Linked DNA regions of Alligator mississippiensis. The protein of the gene in region 1 purifies or fractionates together with the protein of each later gene. This does not show direct contact. Links are inferred from orthologs where the notes say so. Each region holds a gene or a part of one and is shown on either strand. Other genes may lie near its edges.

Region 1 (7,822 bases):
ACTCAGATCCCAACACTATTATTGCTGGTGCATGATCTTAGACTCACCCTGCAAGTAGCAAGCTGGGGCCTGGGGCTCCTGTGGCTGGGAGTGCCACTTAGCTGAATTGAAGGAACCAACCAAAAAGTTGTTACACATATTTTGTGTAGTAACTTTGTGGTTAATTCCCTACCGCACCATTGAAGGTGTGGCTGGGCTACTACTTAAGACATGATTAACTGGTTAATAATTAACTGGCTAATCATGTCTTAAGTGTAGCATCTGTCAGGGGCCTCACTGTCTTGGGTCAAATTAGCCAGATCAGCTCCAAGTTCTGTGGACTGAGCAAAGCTTAATCATACAAGTCTGTGTGGTCCTACCTCCCATACTCATCAGTTTGGGCTTTCAGATACTCCCAAATCCATGGCAGGCATCCAGTGTACAAGCCCCAATTTTGGAGTTCAGATGCCCCCTAGTCTCGCTTGCCCCCAGCCAAAAGGCCATAGGAGCAAGACAGAGGGAGAGCCCAAGAGCAATCCCCCATCACCACATAGCATGTAGCCGATACCCTGCCATTGGCACACTACAGTAGACTCCCGCAGAGATGCATGCCCACTGCGCAATGGACAGGTATCTACCCTCAACTATACCAAGTCATTCAAGGCAGGGAAGAAGGGGATCTCCCCTGACAGTACAGGCAGTCCTCTTCTTACAATGTTTTGAGTTACAACATTTTGCACTTACAACATTTATAAATTGACACCCTGTTTCAAAACATTTTGCACTTACAACATTTACAAATTGACACCCTGTTTCAACTTTCTGACCTCAGTTTCAACTTTACAATGCTTGATCTGATGTGATGCCATGCCAGCGAACAAGTTTGCTATGTCAACCATCTCCCTGGAGAACATCTGTCCAAACTTCCTTGGACACTTTCTTTAAGAAAGCAGACAAGTCTCCAGAAGAACCTGCAGCCAAGACTCCTGAGAAGACTCCAGCCAAGAGCCCTTCAAATAGTCCAACCAAGAGCCCTTCAAAAAGTCCAGCAAAGTCATCTCAAAGTCCTTCCAAATCAATATGATTGCTATTTATATATTTATATTGTATTTATATATTTACAATATAAATACATTAATGTAGCTATATTACTCATCTATAATTGATTAAGTACAAAATTCTGGGGTATTTTTGGTGAAAATAGGGTATCAGGCCTAGATTCAGGAACGAATCCCCTATTTATAACATTGTTTCTTAGGAGAAAATTGGTTCCAAGTTACAACGTTTCGACTTAAGACACTGTTTTCAGAGACCAATAAGTCTGAGGACTGCCTGTACATAAAACCACCTGGACTGAAACCATCATGGTATCTCCCCTCAGAGGCATACTTTTGCCAGCGCAACTAAGTCCTGGTATACGATATCTACATTGGCTTCTCCAGACTGTGGTATGTCAGCCATCGTGCGTTTGTGGTGAGACCTGAAGGTTAATGTTAAGCTTATATTCCTTGATCATTTAAACAAAACATGAAGAAAAACTGGTCTGAAACCATGCGAGATGAGTGAAGTAAGTCAGACCAGTCAAGCCTCAATATCTTTTCAGAAAAGGTCTCTGCCAGTTGGGTGGTAGAGCACTTGGTGGTTGGCCGCCCCGTGCCTTAAAAAAGTACGTCAGAATTTCTGGGCAAACAATTCACAACTTGCATGAAAGCATCAAGAAATAAAATGGGGAGGTGGGGATTGGAGACTTGGCTGCAACAGGGGAGTGGGATGGGATAAGGGATTTCAGATACTCATGCGGGACACAAGTAAAGGGTGAAGGCAACAGAGGAGAATGATAGATAAGCAGTGGAAATAAAAACAAAATGGAAGATAAACAGGGCAAATGGAAGTCAGAGGTGAACAGAGAGAAAAAGAGGAAAGAATGGATCAACAGGGAGAGAAGACAAGGAAATAATGGAATGAATGGAGGAGGAGAGCAAGATAGAACGCACACACGCAAATTAAAGGGCAGGAAAACTGAATTTATTTCTTTCCAAGTTTAATTCAGTTTTGGCCCAATATAATTTATATGTATTTAATACGTGACCACTTATGAATTAAAACATTGGGGCTACTTGTAAAGGAGATTTAAAAAAATGCCTAAGTGATTTAGAAGTGCAAATCCCACTGAAAACTACTGAGTATGAAAGTCAATGTCTGTTCTCCTGAATCACCCCTGTATCTTTGACTAATGCATATCTGTAAAAGCCTATGTGTTAAAATGTACATTAGCTTTAGATACGGGAGTAAAAAGTAAGTTCTGATGTCATTTAGAAAAACAAACAAACCCTGCATCCAATAATTTTGGCTGGCTCCTAATTTCCTTAGACATTATTGAAATAAAAACAAAGAAGTCCTGGCAATGCATTTTACAAAGTACTGATGGGCTATTGATATTTTAAGCCATCATTATATCATACAAATGTTTTGGATCGCTAGTTAATCTTAGCTACTTGTCTATTAAAATAAATAAATACTTGAGAAAACCAGAAAAGAAAGGAGGCACAGCTCAACTCCTTGCTTTCAATTGTACTTGACAATATATGAATGAGAGAAAAAATGCTGACTGATTAGACAAGCAGTACATAAAAAAACAAGTTATCTTTGATTAAAGCAACAAAAGGCAAAACAAACCTACCTTCTGTGACCCCTATGTCAATAGTTCCTTTTACTTGACTAAAACACCACAACACATCCTGCATGAGGTTTCCAAATCCTGCCAGTGAAACACATACAGAAAGAAGATAAGATGTACCCACACAAGTGTAGATAGATAGATAGATAGATAAATAGATAGATAGATAGATAGATAGATAATCTTTCTTTAAAACCCATGCATGCACACATATTCACCCGACCATCTGCAACCGTTAAATGAAGACAAATACATGCTTACCTGGTATCATTCTTCCATGCGAAGTGATAACCTAGCACTGCAAAACTGAAAACAATTCACAGCCTGAGCTGTGAATTGCTTCTCTGTCTGTTCTCTCTGTACCATCTCAGGGCTATTTCGAAAACGGTGCAATTGGAGTCAGTCCCCTCTACATCACTGGCAGCATCATAGAGGAGTCAGGAGGCCCTGCAGTCACGGTCTTTGTCACAGCCTCTCTTCATCAGAATACTAATGCCCCAAATCATTTCCATCTTTGTGAAAGAGAGAGTGTAAAAGAAAAAGGGAGAGAACAACAAAAACAAAACAGCAACGTTTTCCTCTAGTTTGTGGCCTACCTAGTGGTGAATTGCTTTGCAATTTTCTCTGCAGAATGAAACGTGTCAGACTACTTGATCATTACAATATTTTAGTGTTTGCATGGAAGCTGAAGTACACTGTAGTTGTTTTAAAAGGATACCGTAGGCATTTATATTATAAGCATTTCTATATAAACAATAGCACTGTGAATTGCTCCCGGCACTGCAATAACACTCTATGGTAAGATCCTGTGAGTGAAATTAGGATTTAATGTACTGCTGCTCCTCCTCTCCTTAAGGACATAGTAAAAATTTCCCTTTTAGAACGCACAATTCAAAACAGCACACAAAGAACAACTTGCTTTCTTTGATAATATGCATTTTATCCAAAGTTCTCAAAGCATTTTTTTAAACAGGAAATTCAAGATGCTTCACAACCTGCTTGAGAAGGAGACAAATATTAGTGCCGTAAATCAATTTTACCAATGACTAAATTATGGTTCGGACACCCTTTTGATCTGAGGAAATAAGAAAATATGCTAGAGGTAGAAACTGAGATTCCTGATTGCCAAGGTTCCTGTTTTAAGCACGAGAATCACACTTCCTTCCTCTTTTCTAGTAGGAAGCACTTGGTTGAACTATACATATATTATGAGATATATTTAGCTATTGGGTTAAATCTACATGGAAAAAAACAGCTGTCTGTAAGATTTCTATTGATCTGAGCCAAACCTAGAACATTACCACTTCTTGCTTTGACCCCTAAACAAAGAGGAATCAAATCACAGAGCTGTCTAGAACTTGTGCACCACCTCCATCTACATAGAAATTCAAAGTGGTTCCAGTCTAATCTTCCAGTTTTGTTTCCTTCATCCATTTTGCTGTATATCTGCCTGCCTTTCTCACTCTGTGTTTGTGTTTGTTTATTCTGTATAGAACATTCTCAGTAATGCAACACTGAGACTGAAAACCTTAAATAGGTTTATAGTCATATGATAATCAATTAGTGAAGTTATATAACTGATGCTATCTACAGTATATAAGGACACAGCTAGAGAGAGAAATCTAGCAGTGACTCTGCCTAAGCAAATCATCTGCCCCTAGGTGATTTACACCCTCCCGCTATATAAACCGCTGTCACCTTTGGCAGCCAAAGGATACTGGCCACTCTGTAAGCTTTTTACTATGTTTAATTTGGTCTGTTTTCAAGTGTTGATAATTTATGTAATCAGGGCTTGCAGTAGAGATGGTATCTTTTATTAGATCAACAAGATTTTTGCAAAAAAAATTTCTTGTTGGCCTAATAAAATATATAATCTCTACTACGAGTCCTGGTTGCCTTTTCCTCTAGATCAATACGGGTACAACCTGGATACCTGATCATTTATGTAAGCTTTAACTGAGGTACCGTTGATGTTATTGTGTGGTAGTGTGTCTAATTTAGACTATAGATAAGGCTGAATATATTTAAAAAGTAGAAAATCCTTATAGTCAGTAAGTTTTAATAGGGTGTGTAAGTTTTGAAAACTGACTTGATGTTGAGCCTTGTGGCGATCTACAGAACAAGCCAAGTATGATGAAAAAATCATTGGAGTACTTCAATAATTATGTTGATTGAGTCTGAGCTATGCCAGAATTAGAGATGATCTCACATCTTAGATAGAGATGTTATCTTGGACATAACTAGTAGTTTGAGATGGCCAACTTTCCAAACTGCCTGAGGGGATTTGGGACCCTATCTGGGGACTTGCTTCAGTTCACAAGGTTGGCTTGTCTGTATCATAGGAAGAAAGGAGAGCAAGCCTTTGGCTCTGCCCCGTTCTAGTCCTCAGGAAGGCTATCAGCCCAAGAAGGAGTGTTGGCAGGAAGACTGGGCAAAAGATATTGGCTCTGGTACAGTGGGATGTTTCCTGGTCTCAATTTTCCCTGACTCCCTTTAGTATCACCAGTCAAATCTTACAGAACAGGCTGCTAGCCCAGACTCTGTGTAGCAGTATAGCAAGCAGTTCAGTGGCCTCCTGAGTACATGGTTCAAGACTCCAGTCTGGCTTAGCTATGTCTTATGTCTGCTGTGAAGCCAGGAGTAGGGTTTTTTTTAAATATTCCCTAGCTCTCTCTGGCATCACCAATCAAGCACTTCCACAGGACAGGGTGGCAGCTCTAAGCTCCATGTTGTGGTACAGTGAGCAATTTGATCATTTTCTGAATTCAAGGGCCTGGATTCACTCTTATGGTCTGCCTCACTCACAGCTGGCAGCTGCCTTTTTTTTTCTTTTTAAGTTTATTTTCCCCAGCTCCCTTGGGCATCACTCATCAAGGAATCCCATGGAGCAGGCTGCCACAGCTAAGCTTCAAGTAGTGGTGCAGTGGGAGTTTTGCTGTCCTCCTGAGCACAAAGTCCTGGCTTCACAACCTTGCAGTGGTTCAGCTGTGTTGTCCCCTTGGCCGGCAGTGAAGTTTTTATTACAATTTATTTTCCTCAGCTCCCACGGGTGATACTCGTTATAGAGTCCCATGAAGAGGCCTCCCAGACTTAGGCCCTGTGTAGCTCAGGCTTTGGCTTCAAACCTTCTAGCAGTGGGAGGTAAGTCTGCGATGATCTTTTCCCACACCTTGCTAGAATGTGGTGTTGGTTTGGCTTGGTGGCCAGCCTGCTCATGTTTTTCTTTTTTCCCACTGCCTCACAAAACAGAGCAGCATCCAGCTCCTGAGCCCATCCAACTACTGCCATGGCAGCAAGGTGCGTTGCAGAGTTTGGTTCTCAATCCCAAGAACAGAGACCAGGCCCCCACGCCTGTTTCTCATTCATTTGCAAGGGATACCTCAGTCCGTTCTTACTGAGATGCCACTTGGATTGGTTTTGGTGAGAACTATGCATGTGTACCTGAGAGCAAATTTTATTCCAAGGTAATCTTTAATGTTTTGAAGTTCTCTGTAGTGCTGTGTGCTGCTGAAGAGTTACTACTTTTTAACCCACAGAGGGATGTCTTTCCAAGAGGAAAGATATCATCCTGGTGTTGTTTGGAAGTTTCTTACTTTGGTATTGTTGCCCAAACGGCTAGTTTCATTCCCCTGGAGGCTTGTCCAATCCACCCCAGGAGAGAGTCACACACACACACACACAGGCTGGGTCCATCTCAGATTTATTGTTTGCAAACAGTTCGACCCAGGAGCTGAGCTCAAATCAGAGTCGACGACTAGTCCGGCCCGGAATTACATTTTTATAGCTTACATTGAACATAGAGTTTTAACGTATTAGATGTTTATTGGCAGCATTACCATTTCCTAATTGTTATGTCTTATCTTGTAGGCTGCACTTAACTTGTTATTGGTTAGTGTGACTTATCAGGGTTAGTGCATGCGCACTCAAAAAGCAGAACTGCAGCGAAATCTTTTGTCGCATGCGCAGAGGAAAAGGGGAACTGCGGCAAAGTTAGTAAACTTTAGCAACATCTTATCTTAGCGTAACCTTAGGGCATTGGGCAGGGATAACTTCAAGATGCAAGGCAAGCAGTAAGAACAGCAGACCACAGCTAAGTCATTAGACCTTATGATCTTGCACAAGGGTCATAAGATGGTCATAAGACACTTCTATTATATAGTTGCTGCTCAAGCATTATTTCAAAATCATGGAGTCTAACCTATTTTTACTATAGTATTGGCATTTTGGATCTTCCAGAATGAATGTTTAATACTTGAAATCCAAACTCTGAAATCCTTATTTTCCTTACTTAGCCTTTACAGTCAGTGAGCCAAACTCACTAATGTGGATTAACCTGCAACAGAATTTGGGCCTTGCTTTTAACGCCATCTTTCATTAATCAGAACTCTCAGTGGCATGAGTGGGAGTTTTTTCCTTATTAGAATTGACTAAAAGTAAATAAATGCTTCAATATTTGGCCCTGACTTAATCTTCTTACTGATACTTAACAATGTATGTTGGTATATGTGTTGGTGAGGGTGAGAGGGAATATAAAGGAGAAGAGGCACTCCTCTTATTACACCTCTGTTGCAATTAGATGAAAAAAAATATTTTAACTGTCTTGAATAATCATTTCAGACATTGCAGTTGCCTCAACTACTAACAATATGTTATTTATTTGAAGGCATCTGTTCCACTTTTAAACAGAGTTATTTTTTTTCCTTGACTTATACTGATGGGTCAAGTTGTCTAACAATGTAATGATGAGCACCTTTATCTCAACTAACCATTCCTATATGAAAAGGTTGTAAATAAATTTTACTGGCTGCAGATTTTCTGTGGGTCGTAGTTTGCAAGAGATAAAAAGGTATATGCAGCCCTTCATTTTAACACTGGATTGTTGCAATACATATTATAGAAACCATACAAGGAAAGCTGGAAGAAAACCAGATCATGGTGACCTTCAAAATGAGCCTGAAGTGGAAGATTCAGGATGACAAAGTACAATACCAGAGGCCAATATTTTGCTTTTCTAACAGTGACCTCTTTTATTAGGGAAAATGTAACTCTGAAGCAAGCCATCATTTGCCTTAAATAGAATAAACATGTTTCCCAGGGTCAATGACTCAAATATTTGCAAGATAAATGTATGAAGAATACTGTTCCTAATGGAGAAATCTGTATGCA
Region 2 (7,545 bases), on another chromosome or scaffold:
GCAAAACCAGAGGAAACATGGCCATCTTATTAAGTCTCCAGGAGTTTTTAAACATAACTGAGCAATAGTCTATATAAAGTCTTAGGGATCTATCAAGGCAATCTAGAAGTGGCCAGTCTTGAGTTTGAAGAGTTCCTCGTGAGAAAGTTCTTCCTTACCAATCTGTTTCTGCTTCACTTTTTCCCAGAGACAGTAAAGATGCCAAACATGCCTTGCAAGTATTAACAGTTGCATCACAAAGCTTGCATCCTGTACTTTGTTAATTTTTCACCCTACAGAAATGAAACTCGGTTTGAGGCTTTTTTTTTTTGTAAGCCATTTGGTAGCTTCCCACAAGCATTCTTTCTTCCTGATTTAGAGTAACCACCACCTAATTGCTACTAGCTACTACTTTTAATGTTATTGCCATCTGGTATTTGTGAAACTGCTTGTAAGTACTGCATGGTGACTCACCAGATATTACACAGCTTAAAGAACACTTCACAGATTCACATTGCTCCCAAACCACCCAGTCCAAGTGGTACATACTGTACACACACACAAAAAAAAAGATTAGTAGAACCAGTTGGAAAGTGTACGTAATCTCAGATTTCTCTTTCTAACTAGGCCTTCCAATTCAAACTAAAGATGAACTTGCTGTCATGTTTGGATATGGTTTTGTATGTAAAGTTCAGAGGTCTTTCAAGTCCAAGTCACACAATTAAATCAGTTAATTCCCTGGTGTTTAAAAGATTCTCACAGAGCCCACTTCAAATGCATATCAGACCTACTCTCTGGAGACAACTGCAAGCACGTTCTTATTAAATCTGAAAAAAAATACTGACCAAGGACTAAAATGCTTATTCTAGCTTATAAACGGAGCCATGCTCACTGATTTTTGTTTTGTTTAAAGTAGCTTTTTGAACTTACGAAAGCAACATATACTCCTCTGCCTTGCTGCTGGACAAAGCAACGACGGCTTTGAAATAAGACATTTACCTGCTTTCCTAGGTGAAGGTAAGGATATAAAGTGGTGGTAGGGAGGGGAGGGGAGGGGGGGGACAGGAAGAGAAGTAGTGGTTTAAATAGGAATTAGTGTCGAGTATGTTGATTTACTCTGAGGTCACACTTCAGAAGTTGTACAGAAGACTCACCAATTTAAAAGGTTCACAGAATACTTTCCATTACAGAGGCTGCAGTACCACAATATCACATGGGCTCTGTTTTCATCCATATTTCTGTTATTGCAATATATTATAACTGGTTTGGGGCACCTTATACAAGTCTGATACCCTTTTAAAGCCAAAATATAAAGGTAGCAGGTAATCTTATGGAATACGACCTATTACATCAAATAAAGAGGAAAACAGTGCTTTAAATATAAGCTTCTCCTTGCACGGTGGTAAACTAACAAAACAAGAATTAAAAAAAAAGACCCATACTTGAGAAACAGGAAATTAAACCAACTAGACACCTAGTATAAAGAAAAAACATGCAAGGCAAATATCATAAATGGTTAAGACTAAACCAGATATTTCAACTTTCTAAAGTGCTAACAGCATATGGAGAGAATATTTTTAAAATGTGTTGTTTACTGTGGTCTTTAACAAATCTACAAAATTTGGCGAAAAACACAAAGCCAACTGATGAAGCTAAATGCAAACTTTACAGATGGACATGCTGGAGGTAGAGATGCGTAATAATCTGCCTACGGTCATAAAGGAAGTCTTTGGAAGAGCTGAAAATAGAAAGCAGCCTCCTGACTACCAACCCCATGATTTGGCCACAAGACCATCCCTTTTCAGGAAGTAGTTTTTGAAAGTACATCAGTACTCTTACTCATAACATAATCAGTGGTAGTGAGAGATACTGGGGAAAAACTGATTTATTTTTGTCTTTGCAATCTGGACTGCATTACCAGCATGACCACGCTAAGCCCTTGTTCAAAGAGCATTATTAATTTAATATGGGTCTTCATACAGGTTCTAGATGCCTATTATAGTCCATATGTTGGTTCCAGAGCAAGAGAACATCCTTCCAAGCTTGTTAAGGAGTTACCAAATTAGGAACATGGTCTGCTCCCACATCCTTTAAAATAAGGATAATTAAAATAGCTAATAATATTTTAGTAATGCATTAATGAAAAACTATACACTGTGTGTGGGCAGAATGTTGAAGGGCTTCAGTCATGCTCTGGACACAAGAAACTAAATAAAGCCTTCCACAACTTTATCACAAGAACAGCACTCAAATATCCCATTCTGTTTAAAAGTCTCTTCTGGCAAGAAATTGCATAGGATCCAAAATAAGATTTAAACAGGCCAGGAACACAGCCATGGACTTACAATTTACTCCAAAGAGTGAGTGGGTTGGAGGTGTTAGGTTCGTTGGAGAATGCCAGTAACCCATCCTGATAAAGAAGCTTGATAAACAAAAAAGTACAAAACTCCAATACAACAAAAATTGGGAAGTTAAACAGAAAAAATGTGTGGATCACACTGACATACTTGGAAACAAAGTTTGTTCAATGAAATATTGAAAAGGCCTAAAAAAAGAATGCATTTAGAAGTGTTCATCGTTCTCCTTAGTTCCACAGTGGCATTCAGTCACAAGAACTGCTTTGGGCATTATGACTTTGATCTCTGAAGAACAGCATCCACTAAAATTGAACTGATGACGTAGGTTTCAAGCAACACAGTTGACCCCAATTTTTTTAGATATAATTGTATAGTATTGTACAATAAGAAACTGTCCTAGAGTGTCTGTAAGAGAGAACAGTCTTCCTAAGTACCATTTCCTGTAAATTACTGAGAACCCTTGATTCTCAGTGAAATAAGTAAGCGTTAATCATCACCTCAAAGTGTCATGGCATACAAAAGGGAAACATGGTTCAGTAGTTAGGAGGGGGATTCAGGAAATATGGATTCTAGCTCCAGTTTTCAGATTTGATTCTTGACTTGGGGCAAATTGCTTCACTTCTTTGGGCTGAATTATCCATTTGGTGCCAAAATATGCAACTAACAAAAAAAATACCAATTGTTTCTTGACTTTTAAGGCAGTATTTGTTAACTAACATGCTATGACTTTCATTCATATGAAATGAATTTAAAAAAATCTCATCTCTGCTCCTCTTTACCCTTTCAGATCAAAGTCTTCAACAGTGTCTTGAACCTACACCATACAAATACGTCAGTTATACTTAGTCTTAAGACTGACACAATCTTACTCTTTTATAATAAGATTTTACTTCAAGTAAGGGGTCACTGAAAAAGGTTTGAAATACTGCTCAGAGTGCAAATCATGGCAGAAACCATCCTACTTTATTATCCTAAGGGACTATGTAATGCAGTGATCGCACCCTTCCCTGCTCTTTATACCTTGACATGGTCCGTTCCATGAGCAATGACAGACAAAGAATACCAAGCCTTCTGCAGGCACCTCTAGCTTCCAACCTTAAACACCCGCCATGTGGGCGCCTGCCTGTGGGCCCCGTGGAGCCCAGGGACAGTGTTGCAGGGGCGTTGGTGGTTGCAGGAAGTGCCAAGGGTTGATAGAGGCCCTCCTGCCCCGCCTCTAGACACGCAGAAGGGAAGCAGGGTGGATTTATGCATCTCCTTTCACAGCATCTGATGAAGCAAGCTTCAGCTCGTGGAAGCTTGTCCTGCCTACCTACTCTGGGGAGTCCAAGGTGCCCATCGACTCTGCTTCCTACTAGACTTCAGACTCACTCAGGGAACGACCTCTGCTCAGAGCTGCAATTCTCAGCCAGGTGCTCCCCACCTTGGAGGCTTTCAAGGCTGCACAATATGGTGCAAGTACTGAGAGGCACAAGCAAAACCCTGAGATTTGAGATAGCAAACTTCCGGTGTCTCCTTGGAACAGAACAACTGCACTGGGATTTTTCTCCAAGCAAAAAAGAGGGGCGAGGAGCCAGGCTGACGACTGCTGCTCTTGGCACGTGTCATGGAGCAGCTGCCCAACCCCCCACACTGCCCCCCCCATCCCATCCCCCCACACTGCCATCAGGTGTGGGCGGCCGGGGAGGGCGGCGACACCTCCTCCTCCGACATTCGTCACCCAAAGGCTCCGGGGCAGCTCCGGTCACGTCACTGTGCTGCTGAATTACCGTAACTTGTTGCAGGCGACCGCACGAGTTACCGTATTTCGCTGCAGGCAACCAACCACACGCTTCATTACCAGCCGCCGGGGAAGGGGGATCCGCGCAAAGCGGGGCTCGAAGGAAGCGCCAAGGGTTGCTGGTGCCTTCCCGCCCGCCCCGCAACCCGGGCAGGCCCCGCATCGCCCCCTGCCCGCCGAGCGGCCGGCGCTGGGCCCAGGCCTCACCTGCCGCCGCATAGCCCGGGCGCCGCGCACCTCCCGTTGCGCCTCACGGTTGCCGGGAGCGGCCGTAAAGCGGCCTCGTTACGACAGCCGGCGCGCGGGGAAAGGAACGCCCCTCGCGAGAGGGGCTCGTCAGCAGACGGCGCATGCGCCGAAGGGCGGGGCCCGGAGGCGGCGAACGCGTGGCCCCAGGCGGGGCCTCGCGGAGGGGGCGGGGCCGCGCGGGCCGGGCGCGCGCGACGTGCCCGGAGTGGCCGAGCGCGAGCGGGTGTCGCGCGCTGGACCGAGCCGGAGCTGAAGCTGCCACCGACACCGACACAGCCGCCCTCCTCATCTCCCCGCCCCGCCCCGCCCCGCCCCGCCCCGCGGGATGCGCCGCCGCCCCGCGCCCAGGTGAGGCTCCCGCGCCCCCCGAGGCGAAACGGGGGGAGGGGGCGGCGCCCCCCCCCCTCGGGCTGCGGGGCCGTTGCAGCCGTTACGGGGGCGCGGTCTGCGGGCGATGCTGCCCCCCCCCGTGCGCGTGTGTCCGGCCCCGGCGGCATCCAGCTGTGTGGGCGGGCGGGCCGGGGGCGGCGCAGGTGCGGGGCGGGGGGCGCTGGGGCGGGTCTGTGGGGGGATGGGAGGGATCCGGGTCCTGGGGGGTCTGTGCCCGCGGGGTGCGGGGTCTGGGTCTGGGTCTTTGTCTCCGCGCGAGTTGTCTCGCTGCGTCCTTCCTTACAGGGGAGAGCCCCCACCCGCCCCCTCTCCCCCACCGTCTCCTCGGTTTGGGTGAGGCAGGCTTCTTCCCGGCGGCGTGGCGGTGGCAGGAGGATTCGTAGCATCCTGCGCCGTCTCCGCCGTCCTCGTCCCGGGGATGCCCGAGCGGCTTGCTTGGAGTGCACGCTTCGCCCTCTCCGCCTGGCTGGGAGGCGTGAATGCAGAGCACTGCGGTGTAGACGAGTGTCCTTAGCACGCCGGTGACATGCGAGCTTAGAGATCACCCCAGGCTGTAAATGTTTCAAGCGCCGTGGGGCTGACAAGCTGCAGTGCCTATTCTGGTTTAAAAAAAAAAAAAATTGTTGTGGGGATACTAGAAACGTTTATCTGTGGCTTAGCGTGCAGGATGTACGGTGCGTGGCGTTTTTCCTTTTAAATGGTTGATGTAATGGTCTGAGACTCGGAAGAGCAGCGCGATTGTTGATGGGAAGCAGCATTTGTAAGTGAACGGGAACTTATTTTTCAGTGTACAGTATGTGCGTGATCTTTTTTTGGCTTTTTTACCATTTATAAAAATATAATCAGTGTTATCAGTCAGAGCGAAGGGCAGCTGGAGTGGGTGGCAGATTTGCTGTTTGTCTTTTTTCAGGCTTTACATTAGCAATCTCTTTTCATTACTACACGACTAGCGTTGAGTGGGGTCCCCTCACTCCAGCCTTTTTTTAATGGTAAACCGAGGTACAGACTGTAGATGGTGCTTTCAGTTGAAGGTGGGGTCAGGCCTTCCCTGCACTGGAAGTCGGGGGAGAACTTCTCACCATTGCAACTACTGGTGGTAACTCTATTAGAGAAGCTAGTGTAGACGGGGTACCGGGGCAGCTGTTGATGTTTTCAGTACTCTGTCATTTAGGTCTGTTTCGGGCCGTAGTGGATAAACAAAATATTATAAGCAGCGTTGCCTTGTCTATACATGGTGCTTTCAACGTGGTTGCCGCCAGTGGATCTGCATCTGGCGGCAATTATGTAAATCCTTGGAAATAAATAAGAAAATCTCCTAGTGTAGAGACGGTCTTCAAGCTTGAGCTTCACTGATGCATATTGTTGGCCCATTGCTGCTATTGATTTTATTTATTGGGGAATTGTCATGAAAATAGTGTTGTGTCATTTAGTAAGAGCTGTATTTAAAACATTTAAATTGGGAGCCAAATGAAATATCCAGATACAATACTCTTAATATATGTCACTTATATCCCAGCGTGAAATAAAGTCATTTTGAGTAAGGAGGTTAAAGAAAAACCTTTTTCTTTCATCCTTCCAGAATTTTCTTATACATAGCAAATGAACTGTGCCTTTAGCCCCAAATCCTAGAGCAGGATTTGCAATAGCATGTGAGTCCAACTTAAGTTACAGAGTTTTTACAGCATCTTCCTGTCATTGAGCCAACAATAAAAGGACAGTCTTGGTTATAGATATTTTAGCAGCTCTCATTTCACATAGTTCTATTTCATACCCTGAAGTCATGCTGAGACTAGTAATTTAGAATACAACCAAAAGAACCATGGCTTTCAGCTGCCTTTCTGTAGTGTACTTCATTGTGATTGTTGGACTAGTAGGCAGTGTCTGCCCATATTGATACTCCACAGCAGAGAGTAGGAGCAAGTCTAGTGAAGAACATTATGTACAGATAAGTACTGGAGAGAGAATTAAAGCTGTGTTATAAGGGAAAAAATCTAGTTCACTGTGGTGTGGAGGACAGAAAGCCACCCTCCCTCCTAGGATCACTGTTGTCTTTAAACCATTATTTTGAAAAGTACAGCTTTAGATAACGATTTCTTTTTTTTTCAGTTCTTCACAGCCAAGTCCTAGGAATTGGAATGTGAATCTTTTCTTCTTCCCCTCCTTTTCAGCAGATTTTATTTAGCAATGAAATTGCACACCCCCAAGATGATGACTGGCATGTAGACTAAAGCCCTAATCCTGCAAACACTTGCACACAAGCTTAACTGCAGGCAGGTCAAACCATTCATATGAGTGAGCTGCAGCACCACTCTGTAATCAATAATAGGAGAATATTGTTCAGGTTTCATGGTTCAAGCACAAAGTTGGATAACCACAATTTCCTTTACAGGTTATAAACTGTTTACCATGATCTGTTTTTACTCTTTGTCTTTAAGATTGAGACTACACTTGCCTCTTGCATATAGAGGCCATTGCTGGGTCAGGACACACATGCTTTCCTCTGGACTGTTTTCCACCGTTCTAGTTGTGGGAGGCATGCAGAGCAGCCCCTCCACAGTTTTTGGGGAAGTCGGGATCTTTGTAGGCAACTTCTGCTTCATGCTTTCACTTCCGGCCATGTTTTTTCAGGCATGTGCCTGTGTGGAATGCCTGCCAGAACAAAGCTCATGCTTGTTAGTGTCTTAATTCATGGTTTAAATACATTGTGTGCGTGCTCGCCTTTCAAAAAGTGCTTAGTTGTCTAGATTGGGCCGATAATTCAGGAACCGTGAGAACAAGCTAATGACTTGT
Region 3 (7,888 bases), on another chromosome or scaffold:
ACATTATAAACATCTTCCTCTCCCCTGCTGCCATATGAGCGTCTCACCAGAACAGGCAACGCTGTTGTAAAGACTAAACTGAGTGGGACTGATTTGTCAAGAGGGGGAAAGCAACAAGGAAGGAGGGCACTGGGGAGGCTACAGGCATTCATCTGAGCTAACTAACATCTCTGTTCCCTTCTCATGCATGCAGGTCACACAACCCAGCAGAGGCTAGCACCGAGGGAAGGGGGAAGCCAAGCCTGCTGTTTGCAGAAGGCAGGGTACATACACACCTTTATAAACTAACTAAATGAGATCTGTATAGAGCATGAGCTTTTGTGCACCCAAGTTCACTTAAACGCAAGCGATGCAGGACAGCCAGTGCTCACACGAAGCTCCTATAAAAAGGCATGGGTGGGGAGTGAGGACAGCAGAATCAGCTGAGAGTGCAGTTCCCATAGCCTAGCACAGGTTAACACAGGGTAGGAGAAGCAGCTTCACATGGCATGGCATGGGCAACTGGTGCATCCCAAGTCTGGCGGGGCATCAGATCGCCGATGGGGGGCCTAGCAGCCGATTGCCAACCGGGGGGGGGGGTGTCCCCTAGTGGCTGATGCACTTCCAGTCTGGCCGGTGCACTTCCAGTTTTGTGGCTGGCGCTTCCAGGGGGTGCACAGCCAATCTCAGGAGGTACGTGTGCACCCATGTGCATCCCCTATGCGTCACCAATGTGGCATGCAATCAAACACTGGCATGCATCTACCAAGGCATCTCGAGCAAAACTAAGGATGTCATCCTCCTGCTCCACTTGGCCTTGGTGAGACTACAGCTGGAGTACTGCATCCAGTTCTGGGCGCTGCACTTCAGGAAGGATGTGGAGAAGCTGGAGAGAGTCCAAAGGAGGGCCACGTGCATGATTAGAGGTCTGGAGAGCAGGTCATATGAGGGGAGGCTGAAAGACGAGGGACTGTTCAGCCTGGAAAAGAGAAGACTCAGAGGGGACTTGGTGGCAGCCTATAAGTATATCAAGGGTGTACATCAGGGCCTGGGGGAGCATCTGTTCACCAAGGCACCCCAGCGGAAGACAAGAAACTATGGGCACAAACTGATTGAAGATTGCTTCAGATTGGACATAAGGAGAAACTTCTTGACAATTCGAGTGCCGAGGGTCTGGAACACTCTCCCCAGAGGTGGTACAGTCACCTACCCTGGAGAGCTTTAAAAAATGACTTGACGCCCACCTTGCTAGGGTCATCTGACCCCAGCAGTCTTTCCTGCCCAAGTGCAGGGGGGCTGAACCCAATGATCTTGTGAGGTCCCTTCCAGCTCCTAACCTCCATGAATCTATGCAATTCGCACAGTATGCTGGGATTTGCAAAAAACAGCTCTAAGCTGAGCCTGTCACCCACTCAAGCTGATGGGAGGAGGCAACTGTTCCTGTCTCAACTGCTCCCTGACCTGTGCAGGAGAAGGAAGTAATACAATGATGCCCCCTTGGCATGACATGTTTTATAAATGTTTTTAATGCTAAAAATATATTCTATCCTTTTACCCACGCAGTAGGGTTTCTGTTGGCTGTCAAAGGTCATGTATCTTCCCAGGACATATCTGCAAAGTGGTCCTTACAACCTCACACCCAGATCCATTTATCACTGCTGGCCAGTTCCGGTCTGTCGCCTATGCTTAGTGTCAGGCCAGTTGTGTCTTGTCTCTCGTGTTTTCTGGGGTTATGAAAGTGTTTTCTCGTCACCTTTAGAATCCTTTGTCATTTCTCATCATTGACAATAAGTGTTTTTTCATTCCTTTTTCTTTTTGAGCAGGAATAGAAAGCATCACAGTTTCCGTTTCCCCATCAAGTTGCTGAACAGACATTTCTCTGTCATGTTTGCGCTATGCTTTGTCTCCTACTCTCTGCCTCTATTTTAGTCAGTAATTCTGCTCTTGTTAAAAGTTCACCTCAGTTGTGGACATTATTTCTGCTGATGTATGCTCCTAGCATGAAGTGTCTGTGTAGGAAATTAACAGGCTAGACTGTTTTTGACACAATCCTTTTGACACTTTTCAGTTTGGTTTCATGCACTGAGTGGGTGGGTGAAAAGTATTAGTCTCTGGTTACAAGCTTAATGTTCTTTCTGTGAAAATATTTTTGTCTTTTGGGAGATGGTTTACTTTCTAGTAAATCTGTTCTTTTGGATGGATCTTGAGAACTTTATTTTTTAGAACGACCAAGCCTTATCTCACCTTGAGTACACAACTGCTGCAGGAGTGACTTCTCTCAGCCGCTAACTCAAGAGATGGGTTGTGGGGATTTTTCTTTTTTTCTGCCCATACCTTAATCAGGTGCGTAATCAGGTGCTCTGAACAAATTCAGAGTATTCAAGAGTCAAAATTTCTACTCATTTTTCAGGCTGCTGATATAACAGAAACTTACTAGTTTCCCCATTTTGCTGGAGGACTTCTTGGAAATCTGAAAATGTCAAGACCTGATATTTCTCATTAGAAGAAAAATCTTGTCAGGAAAAGTTGTCGGTGCTTTTATTTCTGTTGTGTAAAACAACAAAAGGCCTAGAACGGGTTGGCAACCCCCAGCACAAGTACCAGAGCATGGCATGCGAGGCCATGTTGCCTGCATGTCACAACTTGCCTTGGCTCTGAGCAGCTGCCGCTGGCCACGCAGCCGGGGTTGCTCACAGCAGGTGGCAGGGAGGCTGCGAGCCCTGCTGCGAGCAGCCCAGGCTCTGTGGCAGGCAACTGCTGCTAGCCATGCAGCCTGGGCTACTCACAAAAGGCAGCAGGCCGGCTGCAAACTGCTGCTCTGAAGTCTGTGGAGCCCTGGCCCAGCTCATTGCTGGCAGCAGGTGCAGACATACCTCTAGGTGGACAGTGGGGAGGGGCAGGGGCATGGCTGTGCTGCCAAAACAAGGATTGGGCCCCTCATGGCTTCCCCACCACCCGTCCCTGGCATGCCAGCATCTTATAAGTCAAAGGGTGGGGTGTTTTTGGCACTCCAACCAAAAAACCGTTGCCAACCCCTGGCCCAGCCACGTTTTTTCTTTGCATCTTACAGTCCCGACTTTGCAGAGAACCACATTGCTGAAATCAGCAACAAAACTGCGTGCACAAGGGTCGCTCTTACCGGGCTCAGTGCAGGATCGTCAGGACTATAAGTACTTTGCAGGTAGGCCAGAAGGAACACGTCTCTCCAGATCCATGGCAGCGTTAACTCTGTGGTATCATGTTCTTTTCTTTTGGAGTTCTGATTTGTAATTCTGCACCACGGTGGGGTAAGAATAGGGCTGGTTAGACAGAGCCACATGTGAAAGCTCTGTGGCACATTGCAGTGTTCAGCCGCCCCATCTTTTTCCCAGCTGCTGCTAATTTGACTCCCCTAAACCACTGTTATTTTCTCCTATCTCCACCTTTTGGCCTGTAGTTCCCACACCTACTAATCTAGCTTATTTCTTGCTCCTCCTCAATTCCTCCACTCCTCTCTTTTCATCATTTCATTTCTCTCTCCTACCTCCCTGGGTTGCAGATCCTCCTTATGCGATGCCGAAAGCCAGACACAGCTACTAAGCTCTTCTGCGGCTGTGGGGAACAAACCTGACATCCCTTTCTTTTTGAATCGGAGACATGGAGAAACGTACGCTCGCAGGGAAAGGAACCGAGCAAGCAGCTGTGCGCCAAGAACGAGCTGAGTGTTTCCAGAGGTCTGGCAGCAGCAGCTGAAAACCATCAGACATTAGAAATGGGTCGGTTCAGCTTCACAACACAGGAATGGTGCGTACGAACCAATAACGAGTTCTGCCAGTTGTCCTGACGCAGGACATGGGAGCAGACGGCAGCGCCTGGGCCACGTGGAAAGATCGGAAGCGATGTGGACAGCGAGGAAGTGCTCCTGGGGGTCCAGGAGGGGAGAAGGGAGCCTGGACAACCAGGAGACGATGGACAAGCGACCTATAGACATCAACGGTGGATGGAGGACGAAGGCACACAGGAGACCGGAGCTGAGGATGATGGAGGAGGCAGCCAGGGGCCTGTTGCGCTACACTGCCCTGACGACTACTGTTCTTTGTCCTGCCGGGATCGGGGGTCGTCTGCCCCCCCGGGAGGCCTGGAAGCACGTTTTTGCAAGAGCCAAGCGGATCTTTTCCGTCAGGGAACGACTCCAGGTGTGGGGGGCGGTTGGCAGAGACCCCACTGTCGTGATTCTCACTAGGAGACGGGGCAAATGTGGCAGCAGGTTCAGAGCATCCTGCCCTGGGGACGAAAACACCTCCGCCTGGAGCAGGGGTGCCTCCACCCCGGCCCACAGGCTGGATCCAGCACAAGGGATTCAGACGCGGCAACAGGGGGCCACAGCAGTGAAGCACCCAAGCCACAAGCGGCTGGACTGGCCTTGGGGTGCTGCCAAAGCGGGGTCGGGGTCACAGACTGGATCTGGCTGGGAGCAGCTGGGCCCGAGACGAGCGGGGGGAGTGTCTGTGTGCTGGGGGAATCCACGCTCCCACGACCCCATGAAGGGGGCGTGGCCGGAAAGCAAGAGGCCCCTCCCTCCAGCCGCCACGTGCTCTGGGGCGGAGCCCGCTGGAGTCCTGGGGGCGTGGCTCTGGCTGCCTTTTGAAATACCTCATCCCTCCCTCCAGCCAATGGCAGTGGGGGGGCGGGCCTGGGTACCATAGTAACCCAACCGCCAATGACGGACGGTGTGGTGGAGGGGGGGAATGGCTGAGTCCGCTAAGGAACCGGTCAGCCAATGGCAGGCCGGGTACCGCGCGGCCGGTGCTGCGTAGACAGCAGGCAGCCAATGAGCGTCAGCGCTCGCCTGCGGGCGGGGCCCGCCGGAATCGACTCTCCCCCAGTAGCAGTACGGGGGCGGGCCCCTCGCTCCTTTGTGGGCTTCGACGAGAAGATGGCGGGCGGGCGGAGGCGGAGCGAGGTGCTACGGTTGGCCCCGCCCTCCCTCTGAAGCGCGGAGCGGGCGGCGAGGCGGGAGCGTGGCTCCGGGCGGCGGCGGCGGCGAGGCGGTGAGTGGGGCTGGGCTGGGCCGGGCCGGGCCGGGCGGGGCGCGGGGCCGGGGTGGAGCCCCCGAGCAGCGGAGCGGAGGAGCCCGGCGGGGCGGCCGCGGCGCCCGCAGCGGAGTCAAAATGGCGGCGCGTCCCGCTCCCCGGGGTCTCGCGGCGGCGGCTCGGCCTGGCCCTTCATCCTCGCCCGGGAGCCGGGCCGAACCCCGCATTACACTGCGGATGTGTGTGTGCGTAGAGCGTGTGCGTGTGTATACCTGTGCGTGCACGCAGTGTGCGCGCGCGCGGATGTACACGCACGTGTGGGTGGACATATAAGTGCATGGTGTGTGTGTGGATGCATACGTGCGCATCTGGGTGTATACGTGCGTGGTGTGTGTGGGTGTATACGTGCACTGTACGCACGTGGGTGGGGGTGCGTGGGCGGGCGGGTGTATGTACGTGTGCAGGTGTAGGCATATGCAGGTGTGTGCACGCCTGCGCACAGGTGTACGGATGTATGCCCATATGTGTGTGTGGATGTACACAAGTATACAGCTACTCCTCACTTAATGTTGTAGTTACTGTCTTGAAAAATGCGACTTTACATGAAACGACGTTAAGCGAATCCAGTTGCGTCGCAGGAGTTGCGTACCAGCCGGCGGCGGGCCAACAGCGCTATAACCAAACGTTGCGCGACTTTAAATGCGTGTGCTCTCTAATAGATCAGTGACGTAATAACGAAACAACGTTAACAGGATGACGTTAGGGGAGGAGAATGTGTACACTCACACACTATATATATATATATATATATATGTGTGTGTGTGTGTGTGTACACATGTGTGCATAGCTAGGTATCATGTGCACGCGTGCGGGGGGCACAGCCCTCTGCAGGAGGGATGGCCTCTCGGAAGGGATTTCTGTTTGCCGGTTATTGCTGGCTCCTGTGGCCTCATTTTTGTTACAAGGTCACCTCATGCCCATGACTGGCCAGATATTGGGTTTCAGTTTCAGGAGAGGTAAAAGACTTGTTGTTATTATGAAAATGGATTAACTCAGCGAATGCCCCATCCGCATGCTACTCGTGTCAGGGTATTCTAGAAAGCTTCAGGTATCAATGCCCCGTGCGCTTCCGCATTATCAAGTTGTCCAGGAGACTGGCGGCAGGGTAATGAGAGGTAGTTAGTCCTGGGAGTCTGAAGGAGGCTGGTGCACCTTGTAGACGAGCAAAATCAGGGATGCATCCCTTTTATGAGCAGCCGCTCGCTTCGACCGAGGCTGTGGAAGGACATGCGGTACCGTAACAGGTGGAGAGTTTGGCAGGCAGGGACACATGGACGGCAGTTTGAACAGGCAAGAACGGCTTCGGTATGAGGAGGGGCTGAAAAGACTCCAACACCTTAGCTAGGATAAGACATCGTTCAGCAGGGATGGAGTAGAGCTCTCTAAAATTATGAATGGTTTGGGAAAAGGGAATAGGGAACGTCTGATCTCTTGCTCTGTCTCGTGACATGAGAAATAAGCCGCACTCAATTTAATTGGGTGCGGCTTATTTCTCAAGTTTTAAATACAAATTATTTTATTAATACGACACATGCTTGTGAAACTCATTGCCACAAGACGTTGAGAAAGCCAGTGGCATAATGAGGTCCAGAAAGGGTTTAGATAAAATTTATGGAGAGCATTAGTCCATTACAGCCTATTAAATACATTATGTACAAAACAGTCCATTTCATCACATCCTTCCAGCTAGCAGCAGTCCTAACTCCAGGGATGTTCTGATCCAAAGATGATATCCCTAACTATTGTAACTTATGCTCTTTCTTCTGAAGTTTCTGCTGCTTGCAGCTGTTGGGGACAGGATACTGGGCTAGATGGACTCTTGGTCTGATGCAGTATGTCGGTTCTTATTGTTCTTGTGACTTCTGGTTCTCACAGTAAGTGGATCAAAGAAGAGGAGGCTGCTCTTCCTCCTCCCTCTGAACAAGAGCAAATATTACTTTAAATTATTGTGGGAGACAAAATCTTAAACAGCCAAGCCGGCAACAGTCTTGTCCTCCTGTTACTGTCTGCATTTCTTGCATATCTGATAAAATAGCAGAGAAACCTGTTTATATTTAAAACAGGTGTCAGCATTAACACTTATATGTAGCATTTAAAAATACAGCAAGGCATTGGTTTGTATTTCCAAAGTTTTCTTTGCAGGTCCTAAGGACCAGAAGAAATTCTTAAAGAGAACTTAGTTTCTTCATCATAATTGTGTAGCAATGGGTAGAGTCTCAAACAAATTTCATTACCAGGGACTTCTCCTACTTTAATTAAAAAAAATGCTCATTCCAAGTGGTCTCATTTGTTCCTAGGCACAGATGTTTTCTGCCCCACATCTCTGGTTCTAGAAAACAGTGTTTAAGGCAGGGTTGGGTAGCTCCCAAAACGGGTGCCAGAGAGTGGCATGCAAAGGCCACTTGCACTTTGCTTGGCACTTGCACTTTGGGGCAGACAGCGGGGAAGGGGCCTGGGCTGCGCTGCCACAACAAGATCAGGCCCCATTCTGATTCTGCCACCATCGGCCCCTGGCATGCCAACATCTTAAATGTCAAGGTTGTGGGTGTTTTTGGCACTCTGCCTGAAAACAGTGCTGACCCCTAGTTTAGGGGGGTTTTTTTCTTGCTCTACAGAAAAATCCAGAACTGCACAGTCACATGCATTGGGCTCCTGCATTGGGTACCTGTTCCCTTCCCTCTGCATATTACTAAAGTTCATCTCCATAGTTACCACTGTCTTCTTTAGTTTCTAGATCTAATAAGGAGTCCTGCTCATGTTTGCTTATTATTGAGGCTTCCTTCTGTTCAGCAAGCCCTTTCATGTCAGTTTAATGTTTAGATGCTGACTGACCATGT
Region 4 (7,500 bases), on another chromosome or scaffold:
TGCTACACTCACTAGCACCATGACCAAAAAAGACTTCGGGGGTCATGACTGACCACAAGATGAACATGAGCCACCAATGCAATGCTGCAGCTGGCAAAGCAAATAAAACTCTGGCTTGCATCTACCGAGGCATCTCAAGCATGACCCAAGAAGTCATCCTCCTGCTGTACTTGGCCTTGGTGAGGCCGCAGCTGGAGTACTGCATCCAGTTCTGGGCTCCACACTTCAGAAAGGATGTGGAGAAGCTTGTGAGAGTCCACAGGAGAGCCATGTGCGTGATCAGAGGGCAGGAGAATCAGCCTTATGATGAAAGACTGAGAGCCATGGGACTCTTCAGCCTGGAGAAGTGCAGGCTCAGGGGTGACTTGTATACTTATAGGCTGCTACCAAGGGGGGGTACACCAGGAACTGGGACAATGTCTGTTCACTAGGGCACCCCAAGGGAAGACAAGGTCTAACAGTCAGTCTCAAACTGCTGAAAAACTTCTTTACTGTCCGAGTCTCCAGTCTGGAATAGACTCCCCCCAGAAGTGGAGCACGCATCTACTCTGGATACCTTTAAGAAACACTTGGATGCTTATCTTGCTGGGGTGATTTGACCCCAGTTGACTTCCTGCCCCTTGGGCAGGGGGCTGGACCCGACGATCTCATAAGGTCCCTTCCAGCTCTAATGTTTATGTAATCCCCACATGCTGTCCCTCCCTGAGCCTACTGCCAACATTTTCCAGCCTGTCCCATATTATCTCTTTCTACAAGCCATCCATATAATTGAGCCAGTATCATACAGCATCTTATCACTATAATACCGTTCTTAACTTGGATCCCTTATTTTCATCCATAAACAAAATCTATCTTCACCCCTTCAAAGCTCTCCTTAAATCCAGCCCATCAGGCCCCCTCGCTCCCCTTTTCCATAGTCACTGCGGGCACTTTAAAGCATGCTCTCAAGCTTTTTAATACATGCTCTCAGACAGCCTCTTCAATTAAAGCTCATTTGTGGAGCTTTAGTTCAAGCAACCTCATCACCATTTTTAAGCGCAGAGACATTGATACACGAGACACAGGAGGCTGCTAGAGCCTGTGCACTCGTGTACAGATGCCCGGGGTCCCTTGAACTTCTTTCTTTCACACACTGTCCTACACAGTGTCACATTCTCATTGACCAGTCCCCTTCCCACTCTGCTTTCAGAAGATGCATGTACTCTCATTCATAAAGCTCACCATCTGTTTGCTTCATGTGGTACTACACTGCACAGTCCCAGAGGGCCAAATGGCCTCTCCCAGGGGCAGGGACTTGCACAGCTCACCCATTGGAGAGTTTCCTGTAGACTTCTGCTACAGGAAAATAATATCCAACTGTTCTCTTCACTGAGCTCAACTATCATGGATCTTGAATGACCACAACACAACGGAAACAACCTTTCCTCAGCCACAGGGAGTAAAACAAAATGCAGAGAAAAGACTTGTTTAAGAGATATCCTGAAAGAGCTGCCTTTGCCAAACTTTGTCCCCAAGAACAGAGAGCTGAGAGACTGTAATGGTTTGTTATCAATTGGACAATGGGGTTACAGGAAAAAAAACACTGCGATTGCTTCAGTAAAACCTACTAGGTTTTTCAGCTGGGTCTAACCTCCCATTTAAAGATAATAGAGCACAATTAAGAGAACAGGAGTCCAAACTTTAGAGCTTGTCTAATTCTCTTCTGCAGGGTCTAGACACGCTCCTCACTCACAGACATTTGCCAACAGCCCAGTTTGACTCTCGAGCCCTCCAACACGCCAGAAGCAGCAAATTATTAGTTCCACACATGACATCACCGCCAAGAAAACCACCTGCTCTGCAGAAAAGCACCTCAAATGAGTACTTGAGCATCACCCTCCAGAGGCAACCACCCTCTCTGCCACAACGGATTCCCGCCACCACCTCTGCTGTCCCCCGCTACCCCCTGCCCCGGGCACCCTACCACCTCTGCCCCCTGCCTCCTCTGCTATCCTTGCTCGCTTCTGCACAGGGCACCCCCACCTCCTCTGCTACCCCCTCTCCTATCCCATGCGCCCCCATGGGAAACCTCTTTTGCAACCCCCCCCTCCCCACCCCCATCAGCTGCTGATTGGCGCTGGGCACTGCCCTCCCCTGCCCCCAGCAGCCCTGCTCTGTGCCAACCCTTCGCCCTGCACCTCACCACTCAGCCACCTCCTGTCCCACTCTGCAACAGGCACTACCACCCCACCCCCACCACCCCCTTGCACCAGCTGCCCCTGCCTCCCCCTCACTTATCAGGGTGGGGGACCCCACCCCAACCCCTCTCCCCCCACCCCTTCTTCTGCCAACCCATCCCCCACCTCAGGCACCCCGCTCCCCCCAACAGGACCTCCCCTCCTCTGCCACCACCTGCTTGGGCAGTGACACCCCCCACAACTAGTCAGCACCCCCATAGCCCCCCCAGCACATCCACCGCCATCCCCACGGCTCTCAGGAAGCCTTCCCACAACCCTCAGGGCCTACCCCGCCCCCACCTCCCAGAGCCCCCCCCCCAACCCCCACCCGCTGGAGCCCCCCCCAACCCCCTCAGGAACTGATCCTCCCCACCTCCAGGAGCCCCCAAGCCCCTTCCCCATCCCCTCAGGGGCTGCCCCTCCCCCACCTCCAGAAGCCTCCTCAACCCACAGCTTCCAGAGCCCTCCACCCCAAACCTCTTCCCCTCCCCCACCTCCCAGAGCCCCCAAACCTCCTCCCCTCCCCCATCCCCTCAAGGACCTCCCCTCCCCCACCTCCAGGAGCCCCGCCCCCCCCAACCTCCTCCCCCACATCCCCTCAGGGACAGTCCCCTCCCCACCTGGCCGAGCCCCCGCACCCCATGCCCTGAGGGCCTGCCCCTCCTACCCCATGCGCATCTTGGAGCCGGACTGGCCGCCCCCGCCGGGCATCGGCGGCCGCGGAGGAAGGCGACCCAGGTGCAGCTGCTTCTCCAGGGCCGACATGACGGCAGGGCGGGCGGGCGGGAACGAGCGAGCAGCCACCTCCCCCACCACCACCACCACCGGAAGTGCCCCTCCACACCGCGCGGCACCTTGGGAAATGGAGTCCGCTCCCCCACCCTCACCGGAAGTTCCCGTGTCTTTCCCGCTGCACTCGAAGCCGGAAGTGACCCTCCGGAAGTCCTTCCTCAAGGGGGAGCGTTCTCAGTGGTAGTGGCGCCGGAAGTCCCTCCCTCCCAGCCGGAAGCGGGAGGGAGAGGGCGTGGTGCCGCGCGGCCCGTTGGGGGCTGTAGTCGCGCCGCGCTTCTTCCCGGCGGCCCCCGCGGCGGCGGCGGCGGCGGTTGCCGGGCAGCGGCGAGGCGATGAGGCGGGAGCGGGCCAAGGGGGTGCCCCCGCGCCGGGCCCGCGCCCCCCCCGCGCCGCGGCCCGTGCCCGCCGCCACCAGCCTCCCGCCGCTCGTGGCCGGGCCGCCGCGCGGCCTCCTCGCCGTCACAGTAGGCCGCGTCGTGTGGGCCGGGCCCGCACCCCCCGCCATCGCTGCCGCGCTCTGCCTGCGCTGGTGGGGCGACGCCTCGGCCGGGACCTTCTTCCGCGCCGGGCCCGGCCGCAGCCAGGCCCGCTTCCCCGTGCGCTGCGGGCCCGCGCAGCTCGCCGCCTACCTCGCAGGTGTGGGCATGGGCACACGCACATGTGTGTGTCTACATGTGTATACATGCATGTGAATATGCATACGTGTGTGTGGATATGCGTGTATCGGTGCGGGGGGGGCTCGCTTCATGAGTTAAGGGTATGCGTGTACAGGTGATGTGTGCACGCGTGTGTCCGAGCGTGCGTATGAGGGTGCAGGTGGGTGTGGAAGGAGGGGTCCTCGACGTCGCGCCTCATTGTCGCTTCCCCGATTCCTGCTGTTCTCTCCGCTGCGCGGTCGGTGTTAACGCCTCTCTGTGCTTTTTAACGGCCTTGAGGTTTCATCCCTTTGCAAAATCCCCGGTCTCGTCTCTCTTCCGTTTCGCAGCCCGGCCGACCGGGTTTAGCTGTAGCTAGAAACCTTCAGTCAGGCGTGGTCCCACTAACGAGGGTGTGGTCCGACTAACGAGGGGCGTCTCGTAGGCGCCGTCACGGCGCTCGAGGCAGCTGGATTCGGTTTTGCGACTCTGGATAGGAGACGGGCAGACGTCTCCTATTCGTATAAAATCTGATATCTTTTATTAGACTGACAAATCGTTGGAGAACGGTTTTTAAGCAAGCTTTTGGGTTCAAAAACCGTGGTCAGTTGGTCTAATAAAAGAGATCAGATTCACCCAAAGAACCGTGTCTGCCTGTGTCCTTAGACCAACACGGCTACAACCTGCACCCGTGTGAATAGGAGATGGACATTTAACTACAGCGACTGCAGGACTAACCATACACTATCCTTTGACTGGTGTTTGCCTAGTTTAGTTTGTTGCATTTTTATTTTTTAAAACTTCATGTGTACTCAAGCAAGTGGTGCACGTTCCAGGACTTGTTGTTGTTTTCTGCTTCGATCTTTAACTGAATAAATATAGCGCGAGCCCCCTGCCGTATTAGCGCGGCTTCTAGTTTCTTTTCAAGAAAAACGTGTTGTTATATGGGATGAAGTGCCACGCCCTGTGCACCCCCCTTGTGAGACTCCTAGATCCACACATGTGCATGTACGTGCATGTATGCACGCACACATGCAAGAGGGTTCATGAAACCTTGTGCTACACGCACACACTGAATAAAGTAGTGTGAGCCCCCTGATGTATTAGTGCAGCTTCTAGTTTCTTTTCAAGAAAAACATGTTATGTGGGATGAAGCGCCACACCTTGTGCACCCCCCTTGTGAAAATCCTAGATCTGCCCGTGTGTGTGTGTATGCATGTGCGCACATTGTTCAAGAGGGTTTGTGAGAGCTTGTGCTACACACATACACATACATAGCACAAGCTTTTACAAACCCTCTTGCACGTGTTCATCTGCATCTTGCAGCCTTAATGCCGTAAGCTTGAGCTAGTGTCAGAAAGCGCGGAGTTTACTAGCCAGCTTGTTACTTCTTCTTGGCTTCATGAAACGGAAAGAGGCTTATACGAAGCACCCCTTGTTTCCAAGGACACTTTATGCCTGCCCCCCACCTTTCAGAGGCCTTGACATGCAAAACACTATTGTAGTATTGCAATACTGCAATATATATGCACTATTGCATGCTGCTGAGTCCTCCTGCCAAAATCACTTGGGAGGCAAGGATGAGAGGCTGTTCCTGAGAAGGACAGCATGCCTGCAGCTCTTAGTGGAATCACTAGAATCAGACTTTAGGGCTGTATTATTTAACCTGGGCTGAGGCTTAGTTTTGGGAGGTGCTGAATGACCTTGCCAAGCATCAACAGCCCTCCAGTTGTATTTGAGGATCAGACTCTAGATCTGTTACTTATAACCACATTTATGTCATAGTAAAGATTGTGTGGTTTTGTAGCTGAAGTAGTGTAACGATAGATCCTGTCAGCTGTCACTTCACATTTTTTCTCAGGCTCTAATCCTTTAGTGAGTTGTGTTCAGGGGAATCGTGTACTGACATGGACTTTACTGCAGGATTGGGCTTCAAAGCAGCCTATTTAAGTGCATGTGTGTGTATTGTAAGTAGTAGTCCATGAGATGGGACCGATTATCTTTCATTGTCCAATACTTGTCTCTTAACAGTACAATACTTTTTTTACCTACTGTTGTATTTTCTCACATACAACATGCGCTGGAGTACAGCACGCTCCTTGTTTATGAGAGGCAGACTGAAGGAAGAAAAATCTGTTCTTGTAGTATGTAACTGAGTAGCAGCAGCCAGGGAGAGAACAAGGTCCTGCATGGGCACCAGCTATACGAACTCCTTCGTGCTGCCCCATTAGGGTGCTCTGCTTGCAGCCGACTTTGCCAGTAAGCGGCAGCACCTACCCTGAGAGTATTTATCTTGCATAATGTGCACTCCAGTTTCCAGTAGCTGTTTTTTGAGGAAAAAGTGTATCCTGTACCTGAGAATATATGGCACATATGATCATCCTCCTATCTTATTTTAATGATACCTTATTTTGTTGTCTTGGCATTTCATTTTCTTGTTTTAGTTTTTCAATTTTAATCGCCTTTTAGCAGCAAACTGTTGTTACTTGCATAAACCCTTTTTAGATGCTTAAAAATGCATTATACCAAACCTAAATTAGCTGTTCTGTCTCCTGTAGATATGGGTGCTCTCGTACTAGAGGTAATCACCAAACCTGACCATCTTCCTATCGGCAAAGTTCAAATTAATGGATTGTCACAGCTCTCTCCAAGCAATCCAATCAGTGGATTTTTCACCATTGTTTCACCAACGTCTGAGAAACTAGGAGAAGTGCAGGTAGTACTGAAATCTTTCCTCCGACTTATAGTTTGTATTCCTATAGCAACTTGGAGCCCAAGTCAGGGGCTAGACACCACTATGCAAGGGGCTACAGAATAAAAAGCAAAGGAATGGTTCATGTCTCAGCCTACAGCAGTGGTTCTCACCATTTTTGAGCTTGCTGCACCCCTCATTAGACTCAAGGTGCCCCTCCATAACTTTTGTGAATACAGTGCCACCCAATTTGAAAACTATTTTGCAGATTATGGTGCTTGCTTCCTAGAAGGAGGGGCCTGGGAGTGAGAATATGGGAATTGTTCAAGCAGGGACAAGCCTGAGCCTGCACTTGCTTAGTTTATCTGCTTATCTCCTAACACCTCACGTATTACCTCACACTTCACAACTTTCAAAAGATCTGGTAGCACCCCACGGTGTCCTGGCACCCTGGTTGAGAATCACTGCCCTACAGTCTAAGACAGGAGGTAACTGATGGGTAAGGACAGGGGAAAATGCACACACACTGAAACAGTGTCAGTCAGCATGAGAAGTGGTATTCATGGCATGCTAGCAAACTGACTGTTGTGAATATTTTATGTTTTTTTAAAGGCCTCAAACTAGATTTCAAATCCATATTTAAACTTAAACATCCTTTTTATTTTCTTTTTTTTACCACCCTGGCACTGTTTCTCTGGAGAAAGTGATTCCTTAGCTTTGTGTGATGTGAAATAACAAACAAATATTTCAGAGTTTAGGCTGGTGCCCTGCATAACTGTAGAATACATAACATTTAGGAGTGAAACAACAATATGCTGTAGAGTATAAAAAACACACAGAAATAAAACACATGCATTTCTTTATATTGTCTCTCTTAGATATCGTTAGTTTTGGAACCATTCCCTGAAACCTATGACAAGAGCAGCTCTCTCCCAACCACAGATGCAAGTAAAGATATTATCTCATGTGCTAAGGGAACCAGAGGGATGAGTGAAACCAGCAAGCCTCAGTTTCTAGCTCCACCACAAACATACAGGCCTCCTGGGATGTGTGTTACTGGAAGAGAGTCTGCCGACAGCAGCAGGGCTGCAACTCCTAGGTAACATTTTTCCTTTAGATACATTTTCCAATTCATATGGTTTACTTTTAAGCAGTAGCCATTTGA

What was found.
Region 2: the proteins of PPP2R2B (region 1) and MYO9A purify together in Homo sapiens (affinity purification with mass spectrometry; 4 studies listed by BioGRID and IntAct, with this or other methods). This does not show direct contact. The link is inferred for Alligator mississippiensis from reciprocal best matches to the Homo sapiens genes PPP2R2B and MYO9A.
Region 3: the proteins of PPP2R2B (region 1) and CDCA4 purify together in Homo sapiens (affinity purification with mass spectrometry; 4 studies listed by BioGRID and IntAct, with this or other methods). This does not show direct contact. The link is inferred for Alligator mississippiensis from reciprocal best matches to the Homo sapiens genes PPP2R2B and CDCA4.
Region 4: the proteins of PPP2R2B (region 1) and PPME1 purify together in Homo sapiens (affinity purification with mass spectrometry; 3 studies listed by BioGRID and IntAct, with this or other methods). This does not show direct contact. The link is inferred for Alligator mississippiensis from reciprocal best matches to the Homo sapiens genes PPP2R2B and PPME1.

Annotation. Positions count from the first base shown.
Region 1 is NC_081832.1:64,055,414-64,063,235, reverse strand, and holds the start of PPP2R2B (serine/threonine-protein phosphatase 2A 55 kDa regulatory subunit B beta isoform), read right to left. Parts: upstream 3,003-7,822; 5' UTR 2,928-3,002; coding exon 2,918-2,927; intron 2,738-2,917; coding exon 2,660-2,737; intron 1-2,659. UniProt on the Homo sapiens protein: The B regulatory subunit might modulate substrate selectivity and catalytic activity, and might also direct the localization of the catalytic enzyme to a particular subcellular compartment.
Region 2 is NC_081834.1:45,293,207-45,300,751, forward strand, and holds the start of MYO9A (unconventional myosin-IXa), read left to right. Parts: upstream 1-4,544; 5' UTR 4,545-4,713; intron 4,714-7,545. UniProt on the Homo sapiens protein: Myosins are actin-based motor molecules with ATPase activity. Unconventional myosins serve in intracellular movements. Regulates Rho by stimulating it's GTPase activity in neurons.
Region 3 is NC_081825.1:289,655,230-289,663,117, reverse strand, and holds the start of CDCA4 (cell division cycle-associated protein 4), read left to right. Parts: upstream 1-4,872; 5' UTR 4,873-5,009; intron 5,010-7,888. UniProt on the Homo sapiens protein: May participate in the regulation of cell proliferation through the E2F/RB pathway. May be involved in molecular regulation of hematopoietic stem cells and progenitor cell lineage commitment and differentiation.
Region 4 is NC_081824.1:466,851,973-466,859,472, forward strand, and holds the start of PPME1 (protein phosphatase methylesterase 1), read right to left. Parts: upstream 3,014-7,500; 5' UTR 2,982-3,013; coding exon 2,884-2,981; intron 1-2,883. Other genes in the region: C2CD3 (C2 domain-containing protein 3), read left to right, coding at 3,341-3,644, 6,202-6,359, 7,214-7,434. UniProt on the Homo sapiens protein: Demethylates proteins that have been reversibly carboxymethylated. Demethylates PPP2CB (in vitro) and PPP2CA. Binding to PPP2CA displaces the manganese ion and inactivates the enzyme.